3 linked regions of the Lonchura striata genome follow. The protein of the gene in region 3 purifies or fractionates together with the protein of the main gene of each other region. This does not show direct contact. Links are inferred from orthologs where the notes say so. Each region holds a gene or a part of one and is shown on either strand. Other genes may lie near its edges. The genes, in order: PHF19, MTF2 and EED.

Region 1 (9,569 bases), on a different chromosome or scaffold from region 3:
TTAGAATCTTTTTTAAAAAGCCAACTGCTGTGCTCCTGCCCAAGCTGGCAGTATTGCTTTGTTAAAGGAGGGGGCTGCTCCTTCTCTCCTGCAGACAAATCAAGCCCAGTGCTCACAAACGTCACCACTGCAAGAGGCACAGCCAGGAGGCCACAGGGATGGCCACAGGGACAGCCCAGGGGTGGCCACAGGGACAGCCCAGGGGTGGCCACAGGGATGGCCACAGGCACCCCAGCACAGCCCCTGCCCCTGCTGTCCTCTTCAGCCTTTTTTTGGTTTGTCTGCTGGTTTGGCACATTTGGGATGAAGATTCCTGTAGAAACAAAGGCCTTGGGCTCCCGTCTGTGAAGTGCCCACGGTGGTTTTAAGGCAAAGGAGGATTTTTTGGAAGATCTCTTCCAAGATCATGATTGTCAGAACGGTGAAATGGAGCTGGTGCAGCACCACACACAGTCCAGGTTGTGGGGTGAGAGCACATCTGCCCCATGGCTGCAACAGCCACCTGTGGGCTGATTTTGGGGCATTTTCCTCTCATATAAAACAAACCACATTCCTTTAATGAATGGATTCTGGATGAGGTGAAAAACCCCAAGAGCTGTCCCAGTTTCCCGTGGGCACAGGGACGAGCTGCGAGAGCCCAGGGATCAGGAGGGGTTTGTGTTTTGGCAGCAGGACCCCCTCGAGGCTGCTCAGGCAGGCTGGGGCAGCGGGATGAGCCGGGCTGTGCCAGGCACAGGCTGGGGTCCCTCAGTGTGAGCTGGGTGTGGGGTGCCCCCCAAGCAGCTGCTCCAGCTGTGCCAGGGGAACCCTTCTAGAAAGGCCAGGCCCCCACCCTGCTCTGAGCACCACTGGGCTCCATCAGGAGGGCACGGCTGGGCCACGCTCTGCATAAAGGCAGCCAAGGAACTAAAAATCGTTAACATTAAAAAAAAAAACCAGAGTGCCAGGGCTTCAGGTTTCGTTCCTGGGCAGCCCTGCCCGGGCGCTGCCTCCACCGGGGGGAGGGACCAGCACCTCTCCTGCGCCCCACGGGCTTCCCCAGCAGCCCGATCTCCTCCGCTCTGGCTCCGGGAGAGGGTTCGGGGCTGGCGGGGTTCAGTAGGGGGTCGTGCCTTCCCACTCCACCAGGTACTGCACCTTCCCCTCCAGCGTCACCCGCCGCGCCAGCACCTGGTACTTCTCCCCGCACACCAGCCGGCCCGCGGCCCCGAAGTAGCTGCTGATGGACGACTTGAGGTGGGAGAGCGAGGAGTCGTCCTCGCTGATGCTCTCGAAGGTGTGGCTGTCGATGCCGTCGTCGGGGCGCTCGGGGCCGGCCGCCGCCTCGCTGCCCTCGGGGGTGGCCGCGGCCGGGCGCCCGCCCAGCTCGCCCCCTCTCCGCTTGGCCCCCGAGGCGTAGGCTGGCACCGCCAGCTTGCGCTTGCGGCTGCCCACGGTCCTGCGGCTGCCGGGGAGGGCACAGGGCACGAGTGAGGGCAGCACCCAAAAGGTTCCTCCCCGTGCTGGCTTCTGGAGGGAGGCAGGAATTTGGGGGAGCCCAGCAAGGACTGATGGCTTTGACCCTATGCCCCCAGCAAGTGTCACTCTGGGACCCCCAGCCCATTCTGGAGCACAGGCAGGAAAAGCTCCCCAGGGTGGGACATGAAGAGGGGAGACACAAGCCCTCAGCCCCCTGGCCATGCCACCAGGACCCCTCCAGAAGGGGGCAAGGGGCACAGTCCTCACCTGGACTCGTAGGAGAGGCTCGTGGTGGCCGAGCCCGAGGTGCTGGTGGCATCTGTGGAGTCCACATCCGACAGGAAAGTCTGTCCTGAGCTGGCACTGTGGATAGGGATGGGACAGCTGGGATGCAGCATGGCCCCCAGCCTGGCACAAGCAGCACCCCTGGCCCCCAGAGCGCTGGTCTGGCTGCACGGACCTTTTCAGGCTCTGGATCTCATCCAGCGTGAAGTCGAAGATGCTGGCCAGGTGGTGGTTGGTGCTCCAGGCCGAGGTGAAGTCACTCTGTCACAAAAACGAGCTCACTCCTCACTGCCTGGCGCGGGGGTGCTGCCCACACCCCAACCCTGGCACCCTCTGCCCGGGGCCACCGCGCTCCTTCCCAGGCCCCGCTGCCCCGGGGAGTGGCCTGGGCAAGGGACACTTCCCAAAGCGGGGGACAGGAGCTGTCCCCACCCTGCGGCAGCCCCAGGGCTGGGCAGTGCCAGAGAGAAGGGGGGCGAGGGACTCACGCTGGGAATGGCATCCTCCAGCAGGAACTTGGCCCTCTTGCGCCGCGCTCGCCGCTTCTGCTGCTGCAGCTGCCGCGGCAGGAGGCTGCAAACAGGGCGTGCGGTGGGCGCGGGCAGGGCGCTGCTGCTGCTGCGGGGCTGTGCGGGGCAGCGGGGCACTCACCCGTCCTTATGGGCGTATTTGCTCTTCCCCTTCTTCTTCAGCTCACAGGAGCCGCTGTCGCCCTCGCCGGGGGCTTTCTCCGGCAGCACCTTGCTGGGGGGGTTCGGGGGGACGCGGATGCGCAGGCGGAAGATGCATTTCTTCTTTTTGATCTCCTTGCCGCACAGAAACCTGGGCGGCGAGGGGAGGGGGCAGCCCTCAGGCAGGCGGGCACGGAGCATCCCGCAGGGCCGGCTGCGGCCGTGCCCACCCCGCCTCACCTGCTCTTGTAGCTGTTGAGGGCGTTGAGGAGGTGGGGGCCGCGCTCGGAGATCGGGGTGCCCGTGAGCTGCGGGACAGGACGGGGGGCAGGCAGGGCTCAGCGCCCGCTGCGCTTATGCCAACTCCAAACAGACGGGGGAAGCCGAACTCCGGCTTTCGCCTCCTGCCCGCGGCCGGGGAGGGAGGGAGGCAGGCAAGGAGGGAGCCAAAGCTCGGCCAGAGCCACCCGGGTGTGGTGGGGCTGCCCCCGGGGCCGCCCCGTCCTCCCCGGGGATGGGTTTCCAGCACGCCTCGGTGCGAGTGCTTCTCCCAGCTGGGAGAGGTGTCAGGTCTGACACTCCAACGAGGGAAATCCCAGCGCAGAGGAAGGGGATTAAGCTCCTCTGGAGCAGGAGGTGCCGTGCTGAGTGCTGCACGAGCTGGGGTGACATTTCTCACTCCCATGGCTGCTCTCCAGCACAAGCCCAGGGGGTGTTTGTACCTTCCCGAGCTGCAGCAGGTCCCAGTGGTGGTTCACGAAGGCCAAGATCTCCTCAAAGTCAAAGTATTTCTTCTTGCTCTGCACACCCAGGTTGTAGAGGGCAAGATGGACGATGTCCACCCTGCAGCAAAGGGGGGCACAGGGTCAGCAGCCCTGGCAGGATGGTGTAACCACCATGCCCTGTTCTGCCAGCGCCACTACAGCTCCCAGGGCCTCCCAAACCCACCACTGGAACCTTCCCACTCTTCACAGGGAAGGCAACCCAGCCCAGAGATGTTTCTGAGCAGATGCCACAGCCAGGACAGCATCCCTTCAGCTTTGGGGAGAGGTGGCACACTGCCTGCAGCTGGGGGAAAACCCAAACACACAATCCTAGAATGCTTTGTGTTGGAAGGGGGCTTCAAAATCGTCCAGTCCTGTCCCCTGCCATGGGCAGGGACACCTCCCACTAAACTAGGTTGCTCCAAGCCCTGTCCAGCCTGGTCCTGAGCACTTGCAGGGAGCAGCCAGCCTGGTGTCACATCCCAGAGCCACCCGGGCACATCCCAAAGGAGGCAGGGCCCGTTTCTCACCATCGCAGGGGCAGGCGCTTGATGTATTCCGGCCCCTGGTTGCACACAGAGCAGAAAAACACGTAGAACCTGGAAAACATCAGGGAAAATGCTGGGAGCGAGGATCACACACAGCTGTGCAGGGCCCAGGTGGGACAGTGCCAACGGTGACAGCAAGGCCAGGAGGAGTGGGCTCTGTGGGGCAGGGCCTGACCCGTGCTGGTGTCAGATGGATCAGGGACACACAGCCAGGGCCAGAAGGGCCGTACCGGTCTCCGAACATCATGGGGTCACTGAGGCACTGGGTGCAGGCTTCGTGGAACCACTGCCGGCAGCGGTAGCACTGCAGCATCTTCAGGTACCACCTGGGCAGGGACAGAACGGTGACAGTGAGGGCAGCATGTGGCAGCCACTGCCCCCGTCCCCTCCCAGACACAGAGCCCCAGGCAGGGAGAGAACTGCGTCCCTCACTGGTGTTTCTGTGCAAACAGAGACCCAGATAGCAGAGGCAGCGTGGGGAGCAGAACCACTGGCCTCAGGGCAGTGCCCTGCACATCAGGGATCAAACATGCCCACCCTGATCCCACCTTCCTTTCCCCACGAAGCCAATGGTGACACAGGCCAGCCTTACTCTCCGGGGCCGCCGCAGTAGCAGTAGCACTGCTGCTGGTTGGTGCGGTGCGGGGAGTCCCACTCCAGCAGCTCGGGGTTGTAGGACAGCACCATCTTCACGGCTTGCAGCGTCCTGGCAATGGCTCCTTTCTTCAGGGCACCCCCTTTCTGTGGGAGAGCCAGGGCCGGGCTCAGCACAGCCCCCGGGGAGCCCGTCCTGCCCCGCCGTGCCGGGGACGGGCGGCGCACGGAGCCGGGAGCACGGGGCAGCCCCACTCACCCGCACGGCCAGGGCAAAAATGCAGCGGCGGCAGAACCACGGCGTCCCCAGCGGGCCCTCGCCGCCGCTCGCCACCGGGATGTGGCACTGCTGGTGGTAACCTGCGGCAGGGCTCGGCATCAGCCCAGCCTCGCCTGGGGCGGGCACGGCAGGGCCCGGGGTGGCACACCCACACTCACCCAGCCCGCACTTCCCGCAGATGAGGATTTCGTTCCTGGGGCCCGACTTCTTCCCCAGGCAGATGCTGCACTTGGGCTCCTCCCCCGGGACGCCGGCTGTGGGACCAGGGTGACAGAGGTGGCACGGCCACATCCCCGTGCTGCTGGGAAGGGTCCCGCAGCATGGCAGCGGGAAAGGGAGGCTGGGGCGACACTCACCATGCTGGATGTCCTTCCAGAGGACCCAGTACTTGGAGTTATCCTCAAACGTGACGAGGCAGCTCTGCTTGGAGCCGCTCACCTGCCAGAAGAGAGCAGGAAGAACCGCTGTGGGTCAGCTCCCATTCCCAGCACTTCCCTCTTTTCCTTGGTGCCTGATGCTGTCTCTCGGGGCTGCGGGCAGCCAGGTTTGGGGCGTGACACCCGGGGCAGGATGCCAACCCAAAACGCCCTGCTGACCGAGGACGCACCGCAGCCCAGGCCACGAACTGGGCCGGGAAACGGCACCGGCTCCGCTGGCGCTGGCACCTCTTCGGGTTCTCCCGTTCCCCCGGGGGTGCCCGCGTTACCCTCTTGATCTTGCCGAGGTAGTAGAGCCCGTCTGTCCAGCGGCACAGCACGTACTGCCCCTCGGTGAGCCGGACCATCAGCTCCCGGCAGCCGCTGCCGCGCCGCGCCGAGCCCGCTGCCGGCGGGACACGGCCGTACACGTCCCGGCCCAGCGGCTTCAGCTCCGTGGTCTCCATCAGCAGAGCCTGCAGGGGACACACACGCTGTCACCGCTCGGCACGGCACCACATCAGCCCGCCGCAGCATCCCTGAGCGTTTTGCCTGGGAGGAATGAGGCTGCCCCACCAGCAGGGGCCCAGGACACTGCAAAACAGAGCCGATGAGACGGTTCCTTTCCACGAAATCCAGGGAGCAGCCAAATCTTTGCTACTGGCGAACAAGAGGGAATTAACCCCTGGCAGGCTCCCACAGCGCTGGGACACGCCACAGGTCCGCATGGTTCAGTTTTGGGAAGGGGCACATAAGGAATAAAAGCTTTAAATGTACTGTGATTTTAAAACCACCATTTCCCGCAGTTTTGCGGGCTCCCAAACCACCGGGACTGCTGCAGGAGCAGGGATGTGCCAGCACCACCCACCGCGAGCGAACCCAGGCGGCCAAATGTCACCGCCACGAGGTTTGGGGGGCAGCAGGCAAAGAAATCACCCACAGCAGAGCTGCGATCCCGAAGGACACCACGGAAACGACTTGAAAGGGATTTTTCTCCCCTTGGCGCTCCCGTCACGGCCACACACGTGGCCTCGTGGCACCACGCGTGTCCGGCGACACGAGCCCCCTCTGCCCGGCTCTGCCATCCACGAGGACTCTCCCGCTCCCCGAGAGCCCCGGGACGGGCAGAGCCATCCCGCTCCCGGCACAGCCCGGCGCTCCCGATCCGCAACACGTCCCGGCAGCGGCACTCGCCGGCTCCCGCGTGGGAGCGCGCCCGAGCGCGGCGGCGGCTCCGCTCCCCGGAGCCCCCCGCGCTTCCCCCCGCTCCCCCGCCGCTCCCTTCCCGGGTGTCCCGCGGCTCCGCGCCCCCGGGGCTCCCGCCGCTCTCCCCCCCCGGCCCCGCGGACACGAGCGGGAGCGCCCGGCCGCTGCCCGAGCCCCGGTGGCACCTGCCGGGGGTGGCGGCGGGCAGCCCCGAGCGGCGCCGCGGCCCCGCCGCCATTGGCTCATTCAAAGGCGGCCGCGGCGCCGTCCGCCCGCCCGTCCCGCCCGTCCCGCCCGGTGCCCGCCGGGGCGGCGCCGCCCTTACCGCGGAGCCCCGGCGCGCTCAGCGGGCGCGCGGGGCGCGGGGCCCGGGAGCCGCGGGGCGCGGCGGGGGCCGGGCGCGGGGCGCCATCTTCCCGCGCTTCCCCCGCGCTCCCGCCGGCATTGACGTCCCGGTTATGCAATTAGCGGGGCCGCCCCCGCCGCCTCCCACGGCTCCGGTCCCACCGCGGCGCAGCGCATCCCCGCGGCACCCACCGGCACCGCACGGCACCCAGCGGCACCGAGCGACCGAGCGGCACGGCACGGATCGAACCGGAGCGGGCTGGCACCGACCCACTGGCGTGACACGGACCGGCACCGACCGACCGGCATGGATTGGCATCGATAGGAACCGAGCGGGGCACATCCCGGCTCGGCGCATCCCTGCTCGGGCCGGCCCGGTGCTCCGGAGAGCGCAGGCGGCATCCCTGGGTCCAGGAGGGGCACCCAGGGTCGGCCACGCACCCACTGCCCGTGGAGAGGCACCGTCACCCTCTGCCACACGCGGGACCTCCCCGCCTGTCCCCTCCGAGCCGCGGCTGCAGCCGGGACAGAGCTTCCCCCGGTGCCCCGGGGCGGGGGGCGGGCAGGGGAAGGGATGCGGGCAGTGCCCGCGGAGCATTGTCCCCAGAGGGAACGACCTGTGCTCGCCGGGATTCCTGGAAGCGGGAGCAGCCTTGCAGCCTTTCTCTGAATCTCAGAGAGAAAATCAATCGCTGCAAAAATGCTTCGGTCGGTGCCAAGAAGAAATCTGTAGGATTTGCTGTTTGTTGGAAAGCGATCCTGGAAAAGCAATGTTTTCCAGGCTGCTCGGGCCATAGGAGAGCTGATTCCCAGTGCCGGGTCTGGGCCAAGCGCGAGCAGAGTCCCTGCGGCTTTTGCTGTCCGTGATGGATGCGGCACCGGGAGCTGGGGCTCAGACGTGTCACAAACCGGAGCTGCGAGCGAGCAGCTCCCGGGAGCCAGCGGCGAGCGGCACGGCACGGGCTGAGCCTCCCTTCCAGCACCCGGCACCCGGGAACCATTTATTTCACCAAATTCCCACAAAACGCGGGTGTCAGAGCGCTCCCTGTGATGCTGCACCTGCGGAGGGACGGGAAAAGCGATTTCCTGAGCCGCGGGTCCGGCACGGCCGCTCTGCTGCTGCTCCCTGTGCGGGGCTGCGTGAGGAAAGCCGTGTGTGCCAAGCGTGCCGTGCCGTGCCGTGCCGTGCCCCTAACCAGCCCCGGGCCCCAGCTCCCCGTGAGTCACACCGGGATAAGTGTGAGTCACCTCAGGACTAAAATAACTCTGCCCACAACCCTCGGAGGAGCCCCGCTCCTCGCTCCGTGCCTCGGGGCTGCTGCGTTTGCCCCGAATCCCAGAGATTGCTGCACTCCCGGGACAGCGTTCCTGTCGCAGCCTGTCCCGGGGGCACCGGGGGAGCAGCACCCTCCTCCCGGCCCCCGCGGCTGCTGCTTGCAGCGTGCCGCAGGAATGCGGATGGTGTGACGCGGAAATCAAAGGCTGGATCGAGTTCACCGGGGGTGTACGCAGGGAGAGCCTGACTGAAAGCCTTCCACGCGGAGAGAGAGCACGGGAACATCGCGTCGGGACAAGAGTGTGCAACAAAAATGAAAAAAAAACCACGCAAACAAACAAACAAACCAGCATTTGAGATGTATCCCGTATTTTCTAACCGGAATGAAGCAACATAATTATAGCAACATAAACCAGATTTAACTCTGGTTTCTTTGCAGGTGCTTCTGTCCCAGCACCCAGCAAGCGTGGCCTCAGATCTCACTGCAGTGAGCTACTGGGTGCTGCCTCTCTCTTCCTCCTCCTCATCTTTCTTTCTCCTCTTTTTCCTTCTCTTCGTCCTCCTCTTCCTCCTCTGCACACCCGCCTAGCTATCCCTTGGCTATCCCATTTCTTTGGCACTGTGGGATCGCGGTCCCTGGCAGGTGCTGGGGCTGTGACAGCACCTGGAGGAGCTGGGCACTGGTTTGGCACCCAAGGCTGCCCCGATGTCTGTGCTGGAGCAGGGCAGGAGTACCCGGCCGGTAAAAGCAGATTATTCTGTAAGCAAGGGAACAGAAATGAACGAGAGCCCCAAAAGTGGTGCAAAGCTGAGGGCAGCAATCCACACCCTCCTCGGCCAAGGAGCGGGGCCAGCACAGGCTCCAGGGCAGGACTCCCAGCTCCCTCCCCGCTATGGAATTCCCAAAAAACCCCCAGTTTTTGCAGAAGGATTTGAATAAAACCCCGTGTAGGTAACTATTCCAAACTCCCATTTTTTCCTTAAAAACTTTTACTTGCTCCCCACACCCTGCACTTGCCGAGGGGGAGGTGCTTTCCCTCTTGGAAAAGGATGGAGCAGCCGGGAATCACGGCCCGGGCTGGAGCAGAGCCTGCGGAGTGTGCGGGGAGAGCAGCTCCCAGCGCTGCCTCTGCTTTGAAAACTGCCCAGCGATCGTCGCAGCCTCTTTTCACAGTGTTTTTCTTTCTTTGAAAACAGGCGTGGGAGGAGGGGTTGGATGTTGGCGTGTAGCCTTGGAGACCGAAGCCGAGGAATATTGAATGGAAACCCAAACACGGCGCTCCCGGGAGCTCCAGGCCTGGCGTGGAGACGGGAGCGGCTCCCGCTGGCCCCGGGGCTGACCCAGCGCGGCTCCCCGGGGCAAACCGGAGCGGCCGGTGCCGTGGGACACATCCCTGACTAAAGAAGTGGCTGCCACCGGTTGCTCATTCCCCCTCTTTTCCCTCTGCTCCGAGGGTCTCAACCCGACCACCTCTCCACTGGAGCCACCTGGCCAACACAACCACCTCAAGCCATCCTGTGCGAGGTTCGAGTTCTTCCTCTGTCCCAAACAAGGGTTTATAAGCCAAAAATTTGCCTCTTGTTATTTTTCCAGCTTTATTAGTCTATTAAGAAAAAAATTAATTCCCTCCAAAGCTTGTCCTTGACTGTTTCAGACCTCCTTAGCTGTAGGAGCCTTGACTCTTTGCCAACCTGGCCATTAAACACGGAGCAAATGCTGCTGATG
Region 2 (9,569 bases), on a different chromosome or scaffold from region 3:
TGTAAAAGTGGATGTACCATATTTATCTTGATTTAAGATAGGAAGATCCCAGATGAGCTTCCTTGCTGTTTTTGTGCTTAAACAATGCAGAGAAAATGCCCTGGGATCTAATTTTCCCTCCTTGCTGAATTGTGGTCATGACAACCATCTGTACAAGGATAAGCTTCACAGTATTGTCTTGTTCAAGGGTATCATTTTGATGTTATGTTGTGTGATACAATAAGGTAATGTATATAATACTGTGCAGCAGTTGGTGCTCTCATCTACATACACTGCTGACTTTCACTTTTGGTTTTTATGTGTTTTGGTTGGCTTGTTTAGTATTTATGTGGATATTGAGGCAACAAAAGTATAAAAACCAACTAACTTGCAAAAAATACATTAATGTTTGAGAGAAGGGCTAAGGGAAATACCATTGTTCTGACTCTTCAAATGTATCCACCTCTGCTGGGTACTGGGGAATTTACATGCTGAATATGAAATTTAGCTTTTCTCTGCTGTGCCAGCAAGGCAAGATACAATTTTTAAAATCCAACACTTTGCTTTTGCATGTCTTTATGGCAAGATATTGCCTAACAGTATATGGACAAATATAAACAGGTAAAGACAGTGCTAGGTTGTTATTATTTAGCTTCTTTCTAACACACAGCTATTTATAAGATGATGTGGAATAAAGCTGAATATACCTATTATTAAGCAGAATACAACAGATAATAAAAGTCTTTTTTTCTCCAAAACTTCTACACAAGAAAGCCCTTACTGACATTGCAGGTAAAGTAACTTAATTTGGCTTTGGTCACTCTGTGCATCAAAGTACAGACATAGTATATCTGGAATTGAAAACACACAAGGCAAGATTGCTTAAGCTGTATTTCAAAATACTTTTGAGATATTAGCAGAAGACAAAAAAGGAAGTTAAGAAAGTTCCTTCTAAAGGCATGACATACACTCTTGCCAAGTATGAACAGAAGAAATAACTGGATATTTTACTTACTACTTGCACTGAATACAAAACAGAGAAAGATTCTAACATGTTCCAAATCAGATTAATCATGCATGTCTCATAGTATAGTAACAGGAATGCTAGAAAAAGTTGTTTACACAATCTAAATTGCTAAACCCAGCAAATTTTGCTATTGTTGTTTATTTTTTTGCCCCACATGTCAGTCATTAACAAAGATCCTCCTTCTGCAAATATAGGTTTGCCAGTTTGAGCATTTTAAATTGAAACACCATTTGTAAAAGAGATTTTGCACATTTCCAGTAAGGTTTCCAACCTTGTAATACTCTGGTCAGGCTGTGCAGACGAATAATCAAATTTCTTGTCCTGGAATACAAGTTACTGAAGTGAAGTCACCTGTGTCTATGTACCCCTCAACCATTTGATTTACCTGATCTAGCAGATGGACTGGATGTGTAGGAGTCACACAACTTCTGCTCTGGAAAAGGGCTTGCCTGTCACATGGAAATTCAGTGACTTGCTGAAGTGATCACAAAGGATGTTATACTGTGAGTTACTAAATTAGGTCACTGGGGGATGAGGTGTCTATGTGGGAGTTATGGAGCTTGGAATCTTTCTAGCTACCAGTAGTAGGCGAGTTTAGAGGAAACAGAGTTTAGATTTTTTTTTTCCCTTAGTGATTGGCTATGAGCTCATATTGCTTTTCTTGGATATTATAGGAGAATTACATGGAACTAAGGCTGTGGTAAAATACTCATAGTCTGCTCTTTTTAGTAATAAGGCTAAAAGTAACAAGCTTTGGGGGTACATTATGGCCTAACTAATGCAATCCGTGTAATAGCAAACAAATAAATTTATCAAACCCTAATTATTCTTATAGAATGTAGGGATTCCTAGTTTGTTTTTGTGCTGCTCTCACATACTGCTATTCCAGCAGCAAACCCCAGCTTTGTGACAAGTGATGCTTTATGGGCAGGATGGAACCATGCAGCTCTGCAATTCAGTAATAAGTTCTGCAAACTCCTGCTGGGAACAGTATGTTAAGGGCAAGGAGTGTAGAGATGGCATGTCTTCCTTGTCACAAGATTTCATGTTGAGCTTTTCGGGGTTTTGGAGCTGGTGGTGAAACAATTTACATTATAGGTGACTGATTCTACTTCAAAAAATTATGATTAAATTAATTTTAAAGATACAGTAGGACAGCAGGCTAGAAATACCTTCCAAGTATGACACTGAAAAAGGAAACTGTGATGTAGCCAATTACTGCTGTTTAATCTGTTGCTGACTAGAAAGTTTGTTTTTTAACTTAGCTTAATACTGGTTCTCACACAACCATTGTGATTTAAAAACAATAATTTGTATATGGATATACATCAGATTGAGACTATTTCTTTTTCTCCAGCTGGCAACCCTTTGCCTTCAGCACCAGCAGTACCTGACTGCTGTTCACTGTACATGAAAATCTGTAAAGAGCAAATGGGGCCCTTTGTGTTGTCCAAGTCTGTTTTTAGCAGACCATCACAATTCCTGAACAGTATCTAGCTAGTGCATCCAAGGGAGAACTATCCCGTCAAATTTGTATTTAAAACAACTCTGAAAAAAGGATTTTGATTATAAATACTACTTTATTCTGACATAACTAGGAACTGGCCAGACTAAGCTGTACTCCAGTGGTCTGCCCAGGCTTCCCTCCCTGTGCCCTTTTCCAGGGATGACAAACTGCTCCAGTACCTTAGTTTCAGTTGCTTATCCCAAGAGGGAAGATGGCTTTGAGAACTTAGGCTGTTTGAGCAGGAGAGAGACTGGAATCCTAAATTCTCCATCCATTCTTCTGAGTTCAGCCATTCCTGAGTGACACCAGTGGGTGAAATCTGATCCAGGGCCGCTGGCACTCTGGTGTTGCACTGGGCAGAGCTGCACACAGCAAAGGCTGCTACAGGGCTAGGCCAAGCTTTGCAGTGTTTATAAACGTGGCATTGGGCCAATTGCTGTGCTTAACGATGCGGACTATAGACACTAGCCCAGTACTGGAGTCTGAACAACCACAAAACACAATGATGGAAAACAAAAAGGTATTTCCAGAACCAGATAACTGCTGGTGTTGGAAGGGACTTGTGGAGATCATCTAGTTAAATCTCCCTGCCAAGGCAGGGTCACCTAGAGCAGGCAACACAGAAACGTGTCCAGGTGGGTTTTGAATGAACCCAAAGGGAGACTCCATGAGTCCCTGTTCAGCCCGTTCCATTAGCTCAGCTAATACAGCTGCTGCTAACACCTGGAACTGAGGTTCAGCTCATCTCCTAAAATGGCAGCATCCCGATGTCGGCGCAGAGGAGCACACTGTGCATTCTGCAGCCTCCGGTACCGGGGCCGGGCCTGGCCAACCGCCGCGGCAAGAAGGCGGACCCGGGGTCATTCCAGACGGCAGGGCCGCCGCTCCAGGGCGGGATCTTTCCCCGGAGCCCGGCCGGGCGCTCCGCGGGGCCCGGGCCGCGCCGCATCGCCTCAGGTGCGGCGGGAACAATGAGCGCCCGGCCGCAGCGAGCCCGGCGGCGCGCACCGCTCCGCGCGGGCGCGCGCCTCAAATAGTCCCCCTTTGTTCACGGCGGCCGCGGCTCGGCTGCGCCCGTGTCCCTCCGCCGCGGCGCCCCGCGCCCGCCCCCGGCGCTGCCGGCGCAGGCGGGGCCGCCGGGGCGGGGCCGCGGCCCTTTGTGCTCCCAGAATGCACCAGCGCCTCCTCCGCGGGAAACAAAAATGGCGAGGGGCTGCGCTGGGGCCGGGCTGCCCGTGAGGCGGGTCTGACCGTCTCTCGCCGCCTTCCGCCTCGGGTCCGTGCCCGGGGGGCCCGCTGCGCGCGGACCGCCCGGCCGCACCGCGCCGCGCCGCCGGGGGAGGCTCCCGAGCTCGCCGATTTCCCTGTATGAGGCTGTTGGCACCACTGGGGAGACCGAATGAGGTGAGGGATGGGGGGGCGGCCGGGCCCGCGCGGTGGGGGGGGCGCGATCCCCGCAGGCCGGGCCGGCGGTGCCGCATCCCGGCCCCGCCGCATCCCGGCCCCGCGGCGGGGAGCGCGGCCAGGGGCCCGCTCCGGCGGGGAGCCCGAGGCCTGGGAGGGAGGGAGGGGGAGGGAGCTCCCGGGCGGCCGCCGGCAGGCGAATGTGAGGGGTCAGTGGTGCTCCTCGGTGACCAAAACAAAGGGAGGGAGGCAGCGGGCCGGTCGGCGGGGCCGGGGGCTGCAGCGGTGAGGTGCCATCAGCCTCGCGCCAGCTGTATTTTCGTCTTCTCCTTCAAGGATATTGTCCGAGTAGGCTGCGTTTGCTCGAGTGCGAAGAGAGCAGCACAAAGAGGTAGTGGTTTTCGTTGGTAACTTTGTGTTTGGGGCTTTTTTGTTTGTTTGGGATTTTCTTCTGTGGCTTTTTCTTTCTTCTTTTTTTTTTTTTTTTCTTTTGTTTATTTGAAGTGCCTCGCCTCTTAATTTCAGTGAGGTTTGACGATTTGGATGTGCACAGCAGGTTTTTAGTCCACTTAAATGTAGTAACTGTTGCTGGCTGAAAGGGTATGCAGTAATGCGTTTTCCTTTTTTTTGGTATTGAATTCTTTGGAAAGAATGGGCTGATACCTCTTGTAGTGAAAGAGAACAATATGGTTCTGTGCTGGATGCTCTGAACACTGATATTAGTGTTGAAATACCAAGGGTTGTCGTTCATCCATAGAGGATCAGGGTGCTATTAGAAGTAAAGGGCCTGCATAATTAAATGGAAGATTCTGCCAGGAAAGCAGTGTAGCATTATGGTTGTTTCTGGAATTTGTGATAGGCCTAGCTTATCATAACTTTGAAAGGTCAAACGCAGTAATGGATAATAACATGGCTTTCTCCTGACTTAATGTAAGGGAATGTGATCAATGATATACACTCAAACTGCCAAAAGTATGGGATAATAACAAAAAAGTTTCCCTCTTGTTTTTTTCCTTTTGATCTGTAATCGGGTGGGTAAAAGTTAACCTGGTAATGTTTGTCCTTTTTTTTTGGAGAGCTCAAATTACATTTAATTTGAAAGCATTTGAGATTAAAAGAAGAGGTGAAAATGTTTCATTTCTGTATTATTAGAACACAGGTTAATGAGTTCAGAGCTTTTCATTTAAAGGAGAATAAGGGAAAACAAAGATTGAACGTATGAAAGGAAATGCATAATACAGTGAAAATGAGAAGGGTCTTTGCAAGGAGCTACAAGCTGTGAAAAGTAGATCTGTGCTGAGAGTATAATGTAGTAATGTTTTCCACAGTTAACCCTTATTTTGTCAAATACACATGTGTGGCTTCTCAACAACTTGCCTTTTCTGTTCTGGAAAGAATTTAAAATCAGATCTAGACGCTTCTCATATGACTTAATATAGCTAATCAGCAGGGTATATCTATTTTTTTAATAGGTGAAAGAGACATGTATTGGTAGTTAGTATGAAGTTATGTTTGTCCTTCCCTGTACCAGGAGGTCAGGTAAAATTTATGAGAAGAGCAGCTGTAACAAATAAGTTCCAGTTAATTTCCTAGTGGACAGTGGACTTCAGTATTCCCTGGAGATGGATGTGAATTAATGTAGAGGCACTGAAGCATATTTTGTTCTCTTCATGTGAGTTGTAGAGAAGGAAGCTTGGAGATGTGACTAGAAGCCAGTATGAATCTTTGATTAGTTTGTGAATTGAACACATTTGTTGTGTGAGCGGCCACTGGCCTTGCTGCAGAGTTGGTTTCACCTTCTTCACAGGCCTTCCTTGCTGGAAATGGAGGGGAAGTGTGTCTTTGAGCAAAACACAACAGGAGAAGAATTATAAAACCACAGGTATGGCTGGAGAGATAATCTCCATGGAAGAGTGAAATCAAGGTGCTTAACATTCTTTGAGAGAAGGAGTGCTACTGATGAGAGCGTTCCTGATGACTCTGGACATACTTCATTAGCTAAATATCTTCACTTCTGTTTTAGATCTATTTATTTTTTTAATTCTTTGGAATGCTTATGGAGGTAGCTGTTCTTGCAGACTGACCTTAAAGAAGATAACTTATTATTTTGGTCAGCTCTGAAATCCTTTTTCTTTCCCACTTCTCCCAGAGCAAGGTAGCATATTGTCTGTTATTTCTTTCGTTGCTGGGGTGGGTGCTCACACTCCCTTAGGTCTGTTGTTGGAGGTACTGGATTTGGATACTGTAGAAACCCAAAAGGCAGTTGCTGTATTCACAGAGGTGCTGGGGATACAATTAAGTGGAATTTTGGTCGGAAAAGGTGTCTTGTGACCTTGTGACCCGGTACCATTGTTTTCTCCCTGTACCTTCATGTGCAAACACATGATCAACCCCAGACAAATGGCTCTTGCTGTACACAACTGCCCTGCCTTTCTTCCCTACCTACTAAATATGTTGTTTGGTAATGATCTTTTAAACTCTAACCCTTTCAGTGTTTATATCAAAGAAATTTAAAACACTTCTAGTTAGTTAAGATTTCTTGAGGGAGAATGTGAGCAAAAATAAAATCAGAAATGACTGTAGTATTATGAGCATGGGAGTACACTTACCCTGGTGACCATCTCTTTTTAACAGTATGCATCAACGTTATTAAGGACAGTAATTTCACAGGGTCAGAGAGCAAAACCACAGTATTCTATCTAGATGCTGTCTAACAAGTTTTGTGTCACAGTCAGTCACTTCCCCTGAGTCCTCTGGCTAAACTTCTTTCTGATATACAGCAGATTCATAGATAGACATAACTGCTAATCAGATTAATAGGCTGCGGGGCCTCACTTAGTTTTTATTACCAGTTTTTTATTTCTTAGAAGAAAAAGTTATTATTTTTGTCACTTAATGTGATGTATATACTTTTGAATGCATGGCTCTATTTTAATAACTCACAAATAAAAATATATTCCCTGATAACTAGAGAGTTCCCTAAAGAATCTAACCAGACAGAAGAATTCAGAGAAAGAAAATCATAGCCAAAATATAAGGCCCTTTGAAAGAATTAAAACCCTCACCAGAGCCCACCATCCTATTGGGATAGTAATGTGTTATGTGAAATCACATTTGATCATCGTGGGTACTGTAGGGTTGACTGGCTAAAGCTGAGAATAAGCAAATTACAATTTCTCATCTTACTGACAAGGAGCAGCTTATACAGAATGGTTACCCTGACATCATTGGTAGGACAAAGCTGTTCTGCCTTAAATGATATTTTAACCTCTATTCATGGTGGATTTATTAAGCTTTGCTGGAGTGGCCTATGAATTGGTTTGCTGCACATTTGAATGAACATGTGAACTTGACTCATGTAGGCCTGTGGGACCAGGCTGCTTTTAAGAGCACCAAGGAAACTATGTGATGTTCTTGTAGGGCTCTTCCTCATTATTACAGGTTGTGAAGAGCAGGGCTAATCCATAATGATTACAGAATTGTACATATTACAGCCATCTTTGGAAAGGGCTTAAGTGTTCAACCCAGAGAACCATGGGCTGGTTAGCTTCACTTGGTCTTTAGGGAAGGCACGAAGTCTTCCTGGAGGATGTTTCTGGATGCATGGAAAGGTGACTGGTAACAGTTGCCAAAAATATAAATCATGGCCTGAACAGCCTGACCATGTTCTGTGTTAAAAATGGCAGGGTTTTTGAACATGGGGAGAACCTCACCCAGCCTCAGTTTCAGCAAGGCTGAAGGGTGAGCTTGAACATGAACTTCATGAAATTCAACAGATAAGAAAGCAAAGTCCTGCATCTGAAGAGGGAACCCCAGGCTATGATTGGCTGGAGGTCAGCTTTGCAAGATTGTCTGGGGGTCTGACAGAAAGCAGAATATCAGCTAACACTGTGTCCTGTGAGCTAAGGCAAGTGGTCTCCTTAATAATAGAAGTAGAAGACTGAGGGGAAATGATTATTTCCTTCTACACAAAAGTCATTGGACAGCATCTCAGTAGAATGCTGTGTTTTGGTGCTACCACTGCAAGAGACATAAACTAGAAGAGTTTGGTGTAGGGCCACCAGGACAGTCAGGAAGTGCAGCACTTGCCCTGTGAGAGGGGCCTTAGGGAGCCAGGTTCATTCAGCTTCAGGGTGACATAACTTCAGCCTTCCAGCTCCTATGAGAAAATTAGTTTGATGCAATTAGTCTCTTCACAGCAATACATGGCAGGAGGATAAGAGGTGCCTACACAGAAATAAGAGATTCTGATGGGAGAGGGAACATCCCCCTCCCCAGGGTGGCAGCTCACCAGTGAAACGGGGCGCACAGGGTTTGGCCTCATGTATTTCTTATTCCCCAGTCATTTCTCTCTGCTTTTCTAGACTGAGAAGTGCTTAGATTAGAGTCCCCTTGCCCTTCTTTGGTACAGTTGGCTTTTGATTGTGCCAGCATGCAGAATAGTGTAAAGACAAGGAGCTTCAAGTGTATTTTGTAGATGTTGTATGATATGGCACATTGGAAAAGCAATATCTATTTCAGTCTATGAAGTAGAGGATAGACTATGATCTGGATTTGTACTTGATCCTTTGCTTAATAAAAGTTAATGGCAATGTACTAATATAATAGCCTGTCTACATGTAATTGAAAAGTGACTGTTGCAGTAATGTTAGTATTATGAAAAGCAAAGTTTTTTTTTTTTTTTTTGGTTTTTTTTTTTTTTAATTTGTTACCCTTGAATCAACCTGATCTGAAGTTTGGACCTGGGTTGGGGTGGAGGAAACTAACTTAAGTTTGACTTATCATTCTGTTAATTTTAACTGTCTTCTTGGCCCAGCAGAATCTTCTTATTTGGGGGAGAATCTTTGTTCATGTTTGCCACAGTGACCAGATAATTTTTGGCATGAGGTCTTATAAATAGTGGAGAAGCTGAAAGGAAGAAATGTGGCCAGGATCCAACATTTCTCCAGCTGTTAATGTAGGTACCAGATCCAGGTCATAGGCAATTTTGGGAACATGGCTTTAGCTTGGTTATGTGGAGTTGGGTAAACAAGCTATGATTATTACTCTCAGACAGGATTAATTTCCCTTTTTTGCTGTCTTCTAGCTGTGAGCACTTGTTCTGTACCTGGCTTGTTTAGTCAGCAGATCTCTCTGTGAGGTACTTCAGTATGTTTTAAATATCAGTCAGTGAATTCATATTAAGGGAAAGAAAACTGAATAGGAAGTTAATGGAGAAGCGAGCTTGTTATTCCAGAGTTGCTGGGAAGGAAGCAAGCTGCTGTATTGGATAAGCCATGTGTGAAACTGCCGTGAGTTTTCTGTGTTCTGAGCCCTTGCTACACCTCCACTCCCCTCATTGCATGCAGTGTTAACTTTCCTGTTTTAAGGAGAGAAGAACAGACTGCTGGTTGTTTTACAGCATCTTACAAGTTCTTCATAGTTCAGTTTTCTCCAATAAAAGGTAATAAAGGACTAGTTGGCAACTTCAGACCAAAAGAATTTGCAGTTAATTAGCAGTAACATCATACTTCCATAATCTGAAGTTATTCTCTCCAGTTGTCATAAGATCTTTCACTATATTTTCCTTTCCTGTGGGATACCACATTTCCAGTTTTGAGATGGGTCCTAAACTCTGTGGGCTATCTTAGTAGAATGCTCTGTGTGTGATTT
Region 3 (9,569 bases):
AAACTCCCAATATACCCAGTGGTCAGACAGCACATAGCTATTTTGAAAATACTTGTCTGCTCTAATTTTTGTCCCAAATGCTAAACAATGGAGGTTTTCCAAAACATTTTATTCTAGGTGTCGTACATGATGGTTATGCTCAGATGCCAAGTATGTGACACAAATCTGACACTGGTTTGTACAGACAGAAGTGACCCAGATACCCGTCCAAAAGTAAAATTGTGAAATGCCATCTCGTCCCTGCTATGAATAAAGGGCATGAAACCCAAAGCACCCAGCTTCTTTGGGTACTAGAGAAAGAAGGAAGACAAGAAAACAGACCTAATGCTACAAAAGCAAATAAATAAACAATCAGTGGTGAGTTCCAGCCTTACTCACTCAACACCAACTTGGTTTCAATCAAAAGTAAGATCAGACCTGGTTTTAGACAGTGAAGTCATTACGATGGCAAAAATAATCACCTGCATGAATGCCTTTAAATCTTTGTCACCCACACTGCCAGTGGGGAACCAACAACCCACACATGCATTTCCAGTTCCCAGAAGTGGAAGTAAGCCATTGTGGGCAGCGGGTTTAGTTACATTTAGTTTCCATTACACACCAACAAGCTAGAATTCTGCGTGGTATTGGATGCTGGTTCCCAGGTCAGGGGACAACAAATAGAAGCTGAGACAACACCAAGCTGCTTACATCTTAATCACACACCTTAAGCAGAAGTAAAAGGTAGGGAAAATAATTGCATTGCTTTAAAGGCAGCACAACAAAGCAAAATATACACTGTTTTCTGCCAAAAGACTTATCAGCAAAATATATATAGATAGATGAGGATATGCAACAGTGCTAGCTGTATATGCTCATTTATAAACCCTATTTCCATTCAGCCCACAGAAAGCAAAGATTTTTCAGTACATCTCATAAGTAACATACTACTCCATAAAGAATAAAGGCAGGTTTTTTTATTTCCTGACATTTTCCAAGTTGTATTTTTGTTTTCCGGATGCTTAAATTTCATTCAAAATAACTCCCAAAGTAGTGTTTAAAACGCGTATTTAGCAAGCACTGAGCTTTTCAGGCTGAGTCATAATCATTTAACACTCAAAGCAGACAGTAATGGCTATATTTGTTTCCCCAAAGAAAAAACTAAAAAACAAAATAAGAGGGGAAAACCAAAAGTGCAAAAGTGGAAAAACATGTAATTTATACACACCTAAAGAACATTAATTTCTATGATCTTTAAATCATGTAGATCCTTCATTAACTTCAATACCTGCATCTTACAGCATAGTTCAAAAACATATAAACTAGGAGATATATGACACAGTACTCAAAGAGTCACAAGTGTCTTTCTAAACCTATATACAACATTCAATCATTACAGTTTTCTCCAGAGTACCTGCAAAGTTAGTATGGAAGACTGGGAAAAGGAAAAGAAGAGAGGCTTCCTCAATCATGAAGTAAATAACCAAATTTGGCTGCTACTTAGGTCTTTGTCTTAACATGCACATCTCTTATTACTACCATTGATTTCAGACCAAAGAGAAATGGGGAGAAAAGCTAATAAAAATACCCCACTTAGTTGAAATGCTACATTTACTCCCTCATAGCTTGATTCCACTTGCACAGGAATCTGTTCCCAGATCCTGATCCAAATCCAAGGAAGTCGGGGATTGCTTAGTTTCACAGCTTGGTCTTTTGGATCACCCTACAGTGGGGTCTGGATTGACACTGGGGTGAGGGAATGTTTTGTTTCCCCAGAAGACACTTGGGAAGTACTAACCATCTTTGTCTGCAGACAGAAAACAAGTACGAGTAACAAAGCTCAGAACTTGTAAAAAGTTTGGGTGTCCAAAGGCCCATGTCTGTGTTTGAAGTATGACTTGAAGCCACAAATGGCACCATCCGTGGGGGCGATTCACGCGAATCACAGGAACTGCTGCCTACCTTGGTGAAATGAAATAACTTCCCTTCCTCCTACACCCTCAAAAGTCTGGAGGCAATTTTTATACTTCAAGAACACAATAAGATCAATTTGTTTCCCAGATACTTTTGTCAGTGTAACTTCGTATCACAGTTTCTCCAGTGGCAAAACTCATTTAGAAGGTTTCCACGCTCCAAACCTTTCATCCCCTCCCGCTCAAGTACCCCAGTGTTTCACTACGGCAGCCTGAAGACAAAGCTCAGAAAAGGAGCCACATCACCACAGCTCCCCAATTAAGCATAGGGGAATGAAAAAATACTCTTAGAGCAATTCTGCAGAAAATATCCACTGCTGAGCTACACAGATCCTCACAGAGTTTGCCATAACTCCCATCTTGCCACATAAATATCCCACATGAGGCTGAGGAATCAGGAAAATAAGAACATCCTGACAGAGTAAAATAGTCACGAATGAGAAAACTCATTCAGTCCACCATAGTCTGTCACCAGTGCGGAAGAAAACAGCACTATGCTAAAAGAGCAGAACAAGCAATAAAGACCATCAATCCACATATCTTAAAACCATCAGGTGTTACACAGGAAGATACACACTGCCTGAATCAGGTGCTAACACATGATCCCAACACTCACAATAAATTAACCAAATTGCACTGCACAAGTAGCTATGATACTGCCAGAGCACAGAAAATACCTAATCTGGTTAAGTGTGAGGAAAAAGCTACTCTTAAGATTGTTGGGTTGATTTGTTTGGGTTTTTTATCAGCACAGAGACATCTGAGCAGGTTCTGTGTTTTGCATGGAGTTGTCACAGGTTTTGTTCTAGTTCAACTTGTTTATCCAACTTCTTATATTTATCATCTACAGCTTCAATGAAATATATAATCACAGCATCACACAAAACTTTGCAAACTGTACAAAAACAAGGTTAACTTCAGCACTATCTACTGTTTCCTATTTCTCAGTATCTTTTTTCTTCAAAACTTTCGCTATTCCAAGAAAGAAAGGTACCTGCTTCAAATCAGCATGGAACATAAGTGCTTAAAGATATTTAAAAGTCTCTAGCTTGACGCTGTCTCACAGCCAACATTAACACTGCTGCCAGTAAGTGATGCCCAAGCATTCCCTGAAGCTCATGCATACCTACCTTTAGACTATTTACACATTTGAAGGAATATTTGCACTTCTTCGACTTCCATTTTCCTTTCCCCCAGCTTTTTCTTCCTGGTGCATTAGGAGTGTTTGTTGGCGTATCAGGGCGTTCAGTGTTAGTACCACTTTCAATACTAACAGCATCATCCTGAAAACATCCAAAATTATATAGACTGTCACAAAGAGATCATAATTGCTGCATAAATTCAACTAATCTTGCAGCACTTGGCCTTTTCACTTCTTGTCATTCATACAAACAGATCTCTCAGGCCTTGGTGTTATTTAGATTCATGTATTTAAATCTAATGCCAGCATAATAGCATTCCTCTCTAGAAACAGAACATGAATCACATGAGGACTAATCCAAGAGGGAGAGCTATGAACTGTGATCTAGTGACGTTTCTTCAGAATACTGGTAGCTGCTCTTAAGAAAATGTCTAGAGATAAAGCAGCTGCTTCCCCTAGAAAACATCTTTGATCCAGATGAAATGAGTACTTCTGAAGAACTGAAGAATAGTTGTTTTTTAAAAAACATGAGGCTTGACCTTACCAAGAACCGAGCCATTCTGAGGCTTCTGTGCACTCTCAGCAGCACCACTCACAGCACGGTTCTGCAGCGGGGCAGCATCAACATCAGAAGACAAAGTTCCTCCTCTCCCCCCTGTACCACAGATACTCACTTGTTTCCACTAAAAGCTAAATTCTGATCAGCTAACTAATCCAATTTGCCCTCCAACCATTAGTGTAAGATAAGAATGGTGAAAACTGAAAAAACACAAATACACAAAACACCCCATCTAGCTGCTGAGAGATTTTAAATTGGCTTTGGATAATCAGCAGAAACTACAATTTCCTGTGTGGTCTGACTGCAGGGCACTGTTTAAAAGGACATTTCCCTGTATCACCCGTCACAGAGCACAGTACCTTCATCTGCATTGTACCTGCCAACCCTGTGTTTCCAAATGAGTACGTTCAGCTTGTTAAAAATCAACTTTTCCCATTTTTTCTGGCAAGATAGTTCACTTTCCATCAGACTAGTGGGGGGAAAACATCTCATGCTAGACTAAGTAATTTCTAGAGCTGAACTAAGGGAGACAGAGGCAGAGAACAGCCTGTCACTGTAGGAGATTCACAAAGCTGCGCTAGGAACTCCACTAGGAATATGGAATGAGGTCAACTATAAACATTAATACACCAATTCCCACCAAGCATTCATTCTCTGTCCCAGTTTCATGTCTGTATTATCAGGAGCCTGAAGAGGTGTACTAGCCTTTGTTTGTCCAACAACTCTGAAAAACAGGACATTCAGAGGACAAAAGGAGGAAAGATACCACAAAAGCCCGTAAGTGTACTGCCCAAATCTGGAGTAATTCCCTTCACATTGGACCCCTAAAAGAGCCAACCCTCCACTAATATTCATAACCAAATTTAACATTTTTTAAGTTTTCCTGTTTCTTCTCCTTTACCCTAAAAAAAAAATCAGAGCTTGTCCAACTCTCATCTCCCAAGTGCACATGTCAGAATTTTAATACTTGACAAGACTGAAGTTTTCTCTGGACTAGACAGATACCGCCAACGTGAGAACACCAGGCAGCTGGTGTGGTGCAGCTATACCATGTATCTGCAACTACCACATAACCAACAAACCTGCATGCGGGACACCTGTGGAGCAAAACACACCCTTTCTCCAAATCAACACAACTATGTCAACTTTTAAACCGAATCCCCCATCTTGCAGGAGTTGTGGAGTCCAGTAACAAACTCTTGGAAAAAGAATCCCTTCACCACTGAGGCAACCCACATAAGAGAATCAGAGAATCATATAATCAGAGTGATTTCTATTGGAAGGGACCTTAAAGATCATCTAGTCCAGCCCACTGCCACAGGCAGGGACACCTTTCACTAGACCAAGCTGTGCAGAGCCACATCCAGCCTGGCCTTAAACACCTCCAGAGATGGGGCAACCTATTCCACACTCCATGATAGCCTACAACTGACAACAAATTAAGCCTGAACATATGTCACCAAATTACATTTGGATCCACAAATGCTGCTAAGCTATGAAAAAAAAAAAAAAACAAGAGCAGCGGTGTGGAACATCTCAAACTTGCCTGTCACCTCACAAGCACCACTTCCAAACGTTGTGGAGGATGTAGTCCAGTTCCCTCACTAGCTGGATAAGTGCAGAAAAGAAACTTCTACACATTATAAAACACACAGAGTAACTACACAACCCCTCTCCACACCAGTAACTACATAAAGTGACTGGTCGATACCTTAGATTAAGTTTACCTTTCAGGTATAAAGTTATTCTACATCAATCACATTACCTTTGCTCTGAACACTAGAATTTCACCTAACTTAGAGATTATAGACGCCATCCCCGCTGCCTTCTGCTGACAGTAGTTTGAGCACCATCTCCTACTTTTCATTCACCAAAAGGCTGCACACATAAACTCGTGCTGCATGTTACTCTACAACGTGACAGTGAAGACACACGATACAAAACTACAAGAAAGATGGAAAATGCTGCTGGTTTGCAGGGAAAATTTTAAAAAAGAGTGTGACGTTTGGAAGCAGAGTTCGAGACAGCGCCCGCTCACAGCTTGGGCCGCAAATCCACTTTCACCCACGTGGAAGCACAGCGGGCGCCTCTCCCCCAGACCCTGCCCGGTCTCTCCCACCGGGGCCTCCCTCCGGCGGCCACCGAGCCGGGACGGCTGGGCCGAGACCCCTTCTCCCTCTCCTCCCTCACGCCCTCCCCGGCCCGGGAGCCACCCGGGGGGTCCCGGAGGGCGATGTCCCCTCACGGCGGCCCGGGGCGGCCCCTCCTCCTCCTGCGCGCTCCCGCCCGCCCCCGCCGCGAGGCCCCGCGCCGCCGCGCGCGCTCCCGCCGCGCCGCCGCGCCCGCGCCGCCTGCCGCTCGCCCGGCCTCACGTTCTCGTCGCCGGACATGTCCCCGGGGTTACTGTTCTCGTCGCTGCTCAGCTTCTGCTTCTTCGCCGGCATCTCTCCCGCCGGTGCCGCCGCCGGGGCTTCTCCCCGCTCAGACATCTTCCCCGCCCCCCACCCACCGCCACGCAGCCGCAAAGCGCGGACGCGGAGGTTCGAACGGCTGTGCCGTAAAGCGGCCGCGCTGCCCGGGCTGGAGCCCCCGGGCCGGCGGAGCGGCGCCTTTCCCGCCGCCGGGAAAGCGCCCCGCCGCCGGGAAAGCGCCTTTCCCGCCGCCGGGAAACCGCCCGCCGCCGGGAAAGCGCCTTTCCCGCCGCCGGGAAAGCGCCTTTGCCGCCGCTGGGAAAGCGCCCGCCGCCGCCTGCGGGGCTCAGCGGGCCGCAGGGACCCCGCTCGTCTTGGGGGCTGAGCCGAATGAGCCCGCGTGGTCGCGGCGTGGTGGCGCTTGGCCGGCGCTGCCTGTAGCCCGAGCACGCGTGTGGCGGAGAAACAAACAGCCCCGTGCGCCGCGGGTGATACCCACCGCTCTGCCTCTCTCACCAACTTCCCTTGTGCCCAAAGGGTCTCTTGGGTCGGGCTTTTTGGTTTGGTGTGGTTTTGTTGTTGTTGTTGTTTTGTTGGTTTTTTCTGGTTTGTTTTGTTTTGGTGTTCTCTTAACCCACAAAAGTCGTTCAGCCTGCGAATAGTGTTTCCGGATAAGAGAGAAAGGCTCTTCTCTGCTTCCTACTTCTGTACTCCCCGGCAAGCTCCTTCTGCAGCTATAAATTAAATAACTGCACTTGCAGGTTTTTGTTTGTTAATTTATTTATTCGCAAACCACAGGTCCCAGAGCATAATAATTATGAAGAAAAAACAAAATCCACACAACTTCTAACAAAGGGGGAAAGTAATCTGCCCACAGGCACATCATCTTATCTGCTATACTTGTAGAGGCAGAAACAAGTCTTTTCTCCCTGAGGGAAACATTCCAGTCTCAAAAAAAGCTTTGAGGGCAGTGACAGAAGTGAGCCGTGCCTTGTATATAAAATTTAATCTCGCAGGAACTTCAGAGATAAAGAGGAAGAGATATACTTCAAATGCTGTGTGTACTATAGTGTTTTTAGCAATAAACAGTTCTGCAGGACTGTAGGCTCCAATGAGGCATTGCACAACATATAGCAAAAGGTGGTAAGTTTACAGGTAAAAACCCTGTGTAGGTCTGTGCTGTAAGATTGAGGTTTTGTTAGAAGTGTTTGTGGGAAAATATACAGGCTTGTTTCTAGAGTACAACAGGATTCTTTTAGACTGGTGTCTTGTAATTAAGACTAAATCACGACTGTGCTGCAAATTTTTTGAAAGAAGGGGAGGCACAAAGTTTTCAGCAGAGAGAATTTTTAACTTCTCCCTGTAGCCCTTGAACTACTGGGGAGAAGAGTGCTCCCCTTTGTCCTGCAGCTGTTAGCTGACATCTCCAGACGTGCCAGCTGAGCTGCACGTTCAAGTCCACCACATTTCACCAGCTCATGAGGAAAGTGGAAGCCTCAGCTAGCCTGTGCTTCATGGCCATTATGCAGTGTGGTTCCCCACCCACTCCCAGAATCAATCAGTTCATCTCCCTTATATAAACAGCTTTGTCCTGGCAGGTCTGTGCCTTCTCCTATCTTCTAGGTGCTGGGGAACTTCCTCCTCGAGGTGATAGCTCTGCTTCCCTCTGTAGACACTTTTTAGTCTAAACCACTTGCTTTTCTTGCACTTTCTCGAAAGACATGAAAGACTGGTGTACCAGGAGAACCCAGTTTCCAAATGTCATAGTACATTTCATCTAGCTTCTATTTAAAGAATTAGTTGTGTGGTTAAACACAAGCTTGAAAGTTCAGGGAATTTGTTTCAATTTGTGCTCTGCTGAGATTGTTTTTGGATAGCCTCCATGCTTTTCTCTGCCTCAGTTTCTCAACAGTGCTATGGGAGAAGCACTTCTTGTATCCCAGAAGGGTACTAGGAAAAAATATATTATAGTTCATTATTTGTTTAATTAGTATAATACCATATAATACATAAATACCATACACATATTAACTAAGAAGTAATAGGGCCCTTGATATAATATGTAGAGGAAAACAGGAGAACAATATATATTTTTTTTTTAATTTGCAGTCAGTTTTAAGTAGTGATTTAATGGTACTTAAAAACAGATGGTGGGTACTTGGAAGGCTGGATTTAATATAAATTGAAAGACTCTGCCAAATATGGGTTCTCACAGGATTGCAATAACAAATGTCAAAAAAAACTCTGCAATGCATCGAAGACATGGGGTCTTAATAGATAGTCTGATTTTGGATTGTTGTTTTTTTAATACATACCACAATATTTCTGGATCATTCAGGGACATTGAAATACTTTTATATATATATGGGTTGAAAGTAAATCAGTCTCACACTTTTCATTCATTCTCTACCAGATAAGCTTCTTCACAGAATCATGGGATCCTGGAGGTTAGAAGGAACCTCCAAAGCTCATCATCTCTAACCCCTGCTGGTTAAAGCCAGTTCCTCAAGGCCTAACTGAGTCCAGTTATGAATTCCTTCAACACAAGATATTTTGCAACCACTGTGGTCTTCTGTGTTCAGTGTTTAATTACCCTCATGGTAATCATTTTTTAAAGTTGTAATTAATCAGAAATTCACATGCTTCAATTTGTGTCCTTTGCATTTTCCATGTCCTTTGTGACTGTGTCTGCCCCTGCTCCATGGAGCAGCAGATCCATATGTTCCTCAGCCTTCCTTTTGCTGCTACTGTACCTATAGGGGCCTTTCCTGACAACTTTTGCCTCTCTGGTTTCATCTCCCAGATGAGCTTTGGCTTTCCTAACACCAGCCCTACACACTGAAGCAATGTCTCTGTATTCTTCTTGGGCAGTCCATCTGTGCTTCCACTTTTCATACACTTCCTTGTCGTGTTGGAGTTCAGCTGGGAATTCCTAATATATCCCCACTGGTCTCCTGCCTCACTTGCTTGGTTTTCTGCATATTGGAATGGACTGCTCTTTAATTTCTTAGAGGAGCTTCTCCTTGAAGATCAACCACCTGCCCTGAGCCCCATAGCAATTGGATCCTGCCAAAAAGATTCCCAAGTAGGCCAAAATCTACTTTCCTGAAGTCCAGGGTTGTGATTCTAATATTTGCACTGCTAATGTCTCTCAAGATTTTCGGCTCTACAATCTTGTATTTGCTGCAGCCTCATCTTTGACCAGCTCACTTTTGTTTGTGGCAGGTCTAGCAAGACATCTCCCCTGGTGTCTTTCTTCCTTGATATGCTTCAGGTAGTCCACATACCTTCTGCCTTCTTCTAGTGGTGATTTTGACAATCAGCTGTTCCTGGTGGCTGAGAACTTTTGTCTCCAAGAGTAGGCAGTAGACGATATGTAAGAAAGAGTCATAGAATTAGCTCAGGGTTTCTAACTGTGTGGGTAGCCCTTAATTTTGCCAACTTAAAGATGAAGGGGCTGTGCTGTGCTGGGAATGGAGGATATACGAAATAATGAGCTAGTGGGC

What was found.
Region 1: the proteins of EED (region 3) and PHF19 purify together in Homo sapiens (affinity purification with mass spectrometry; 8 studies listed by BioGRID and IntAct, counting the BioPlex papers as one, with this or other methods). This does not show direct contact. The link is inferred for Lonchura striata from reciprocal best matches to the Homo sapiens genes EED and PHF19.
Region 2: the proteins of EED (region 3) and MTF2 purify together in Homo sapiens (affinity purification with mass spectrometry; 3 studies listed by BioGRID and IntAct, with this or other methods). This does not show direct contact. The link is inferred for Lonchura striata from reciprocal best matches to the Homo sapiens genes EED and MTF2.

Annotation. Positions count from the first base shown.
Region 1 is NC_134624.1:9,392,326-9,401,894, forward strand, and holds the start of PHF19 (PHD finger protein 19), read right to left. Parts: upstream 5,484-9,569; coding exon 5,307-5,483; intron 5,039-5,306; coding exon 4,957-5,038; intron 4,855-4,956; coding exon 4,759-4,854; intron 4,681-4,758; coding exon 4,580-4,680; intron 4,468-4,579; coding exon 4,319-4,467; intron 4,053-4,318; coding exon 3,957-4,052; intron 3,778-3,956; coding exon 3,709-3,777; intron 3,258-3,708; coding exon 3,137-3,257; intron 2,723-3,136; coding exon 2,655-2,722; intron 2,566-2,654; coding exon 2,395-2,565; intron 2,317-2,394; coding exon 2,232-2,316; intron 2,005-2,231; coding exon 1,919-2,004; intron 1,822-1,918; coding exon 1,726-1,821; intron 1,445-1,725; coding exon 1,096-1,444; 3' UTR 1-1,095.
Region 2 is NC_134611.1:20,716,660-20,726,228, forward strand, and holds the start of MTF2 (metal-response element-binding transcription factor 2), read left to right. Parts: upstream 1-3,750; 5' UTR 3,751-3,912; coding exon 3,913-3,917; intron 3,918-4,257; exon of another isoform or gene 4,258-4,308; intron 4,309-9,569. UniProt on the Homo sapiens protein: Polycomb group (PcG) protein that specifically binds histone H3 trimethylated at 'Lys-36' (H3K36me3) and recruits the PRC2 complex, thus enhancing PRC2 H3K27me3 methylation activity.
Region 3 is NC_134604.1:34,842,438-34,852,006, forward strand, and holds the start of EED (polycomb protein EED), read right to left. Parts: upstream 6,162-9,569; 5' UTR 6,142-6,161; coding exon 6,025-6,141; intron 3,236-6,024; coding exon 3,083-3,235; intron 1-3,082. UniProt on the Homo sapiens protein: Polycomb group (PcG) protein. Component of the PRC2/EED-EZH2 complex, which methylates 'Lys-9' and 'Lys-27' of histone H3, leading to transcriptional repression of the affected target gene.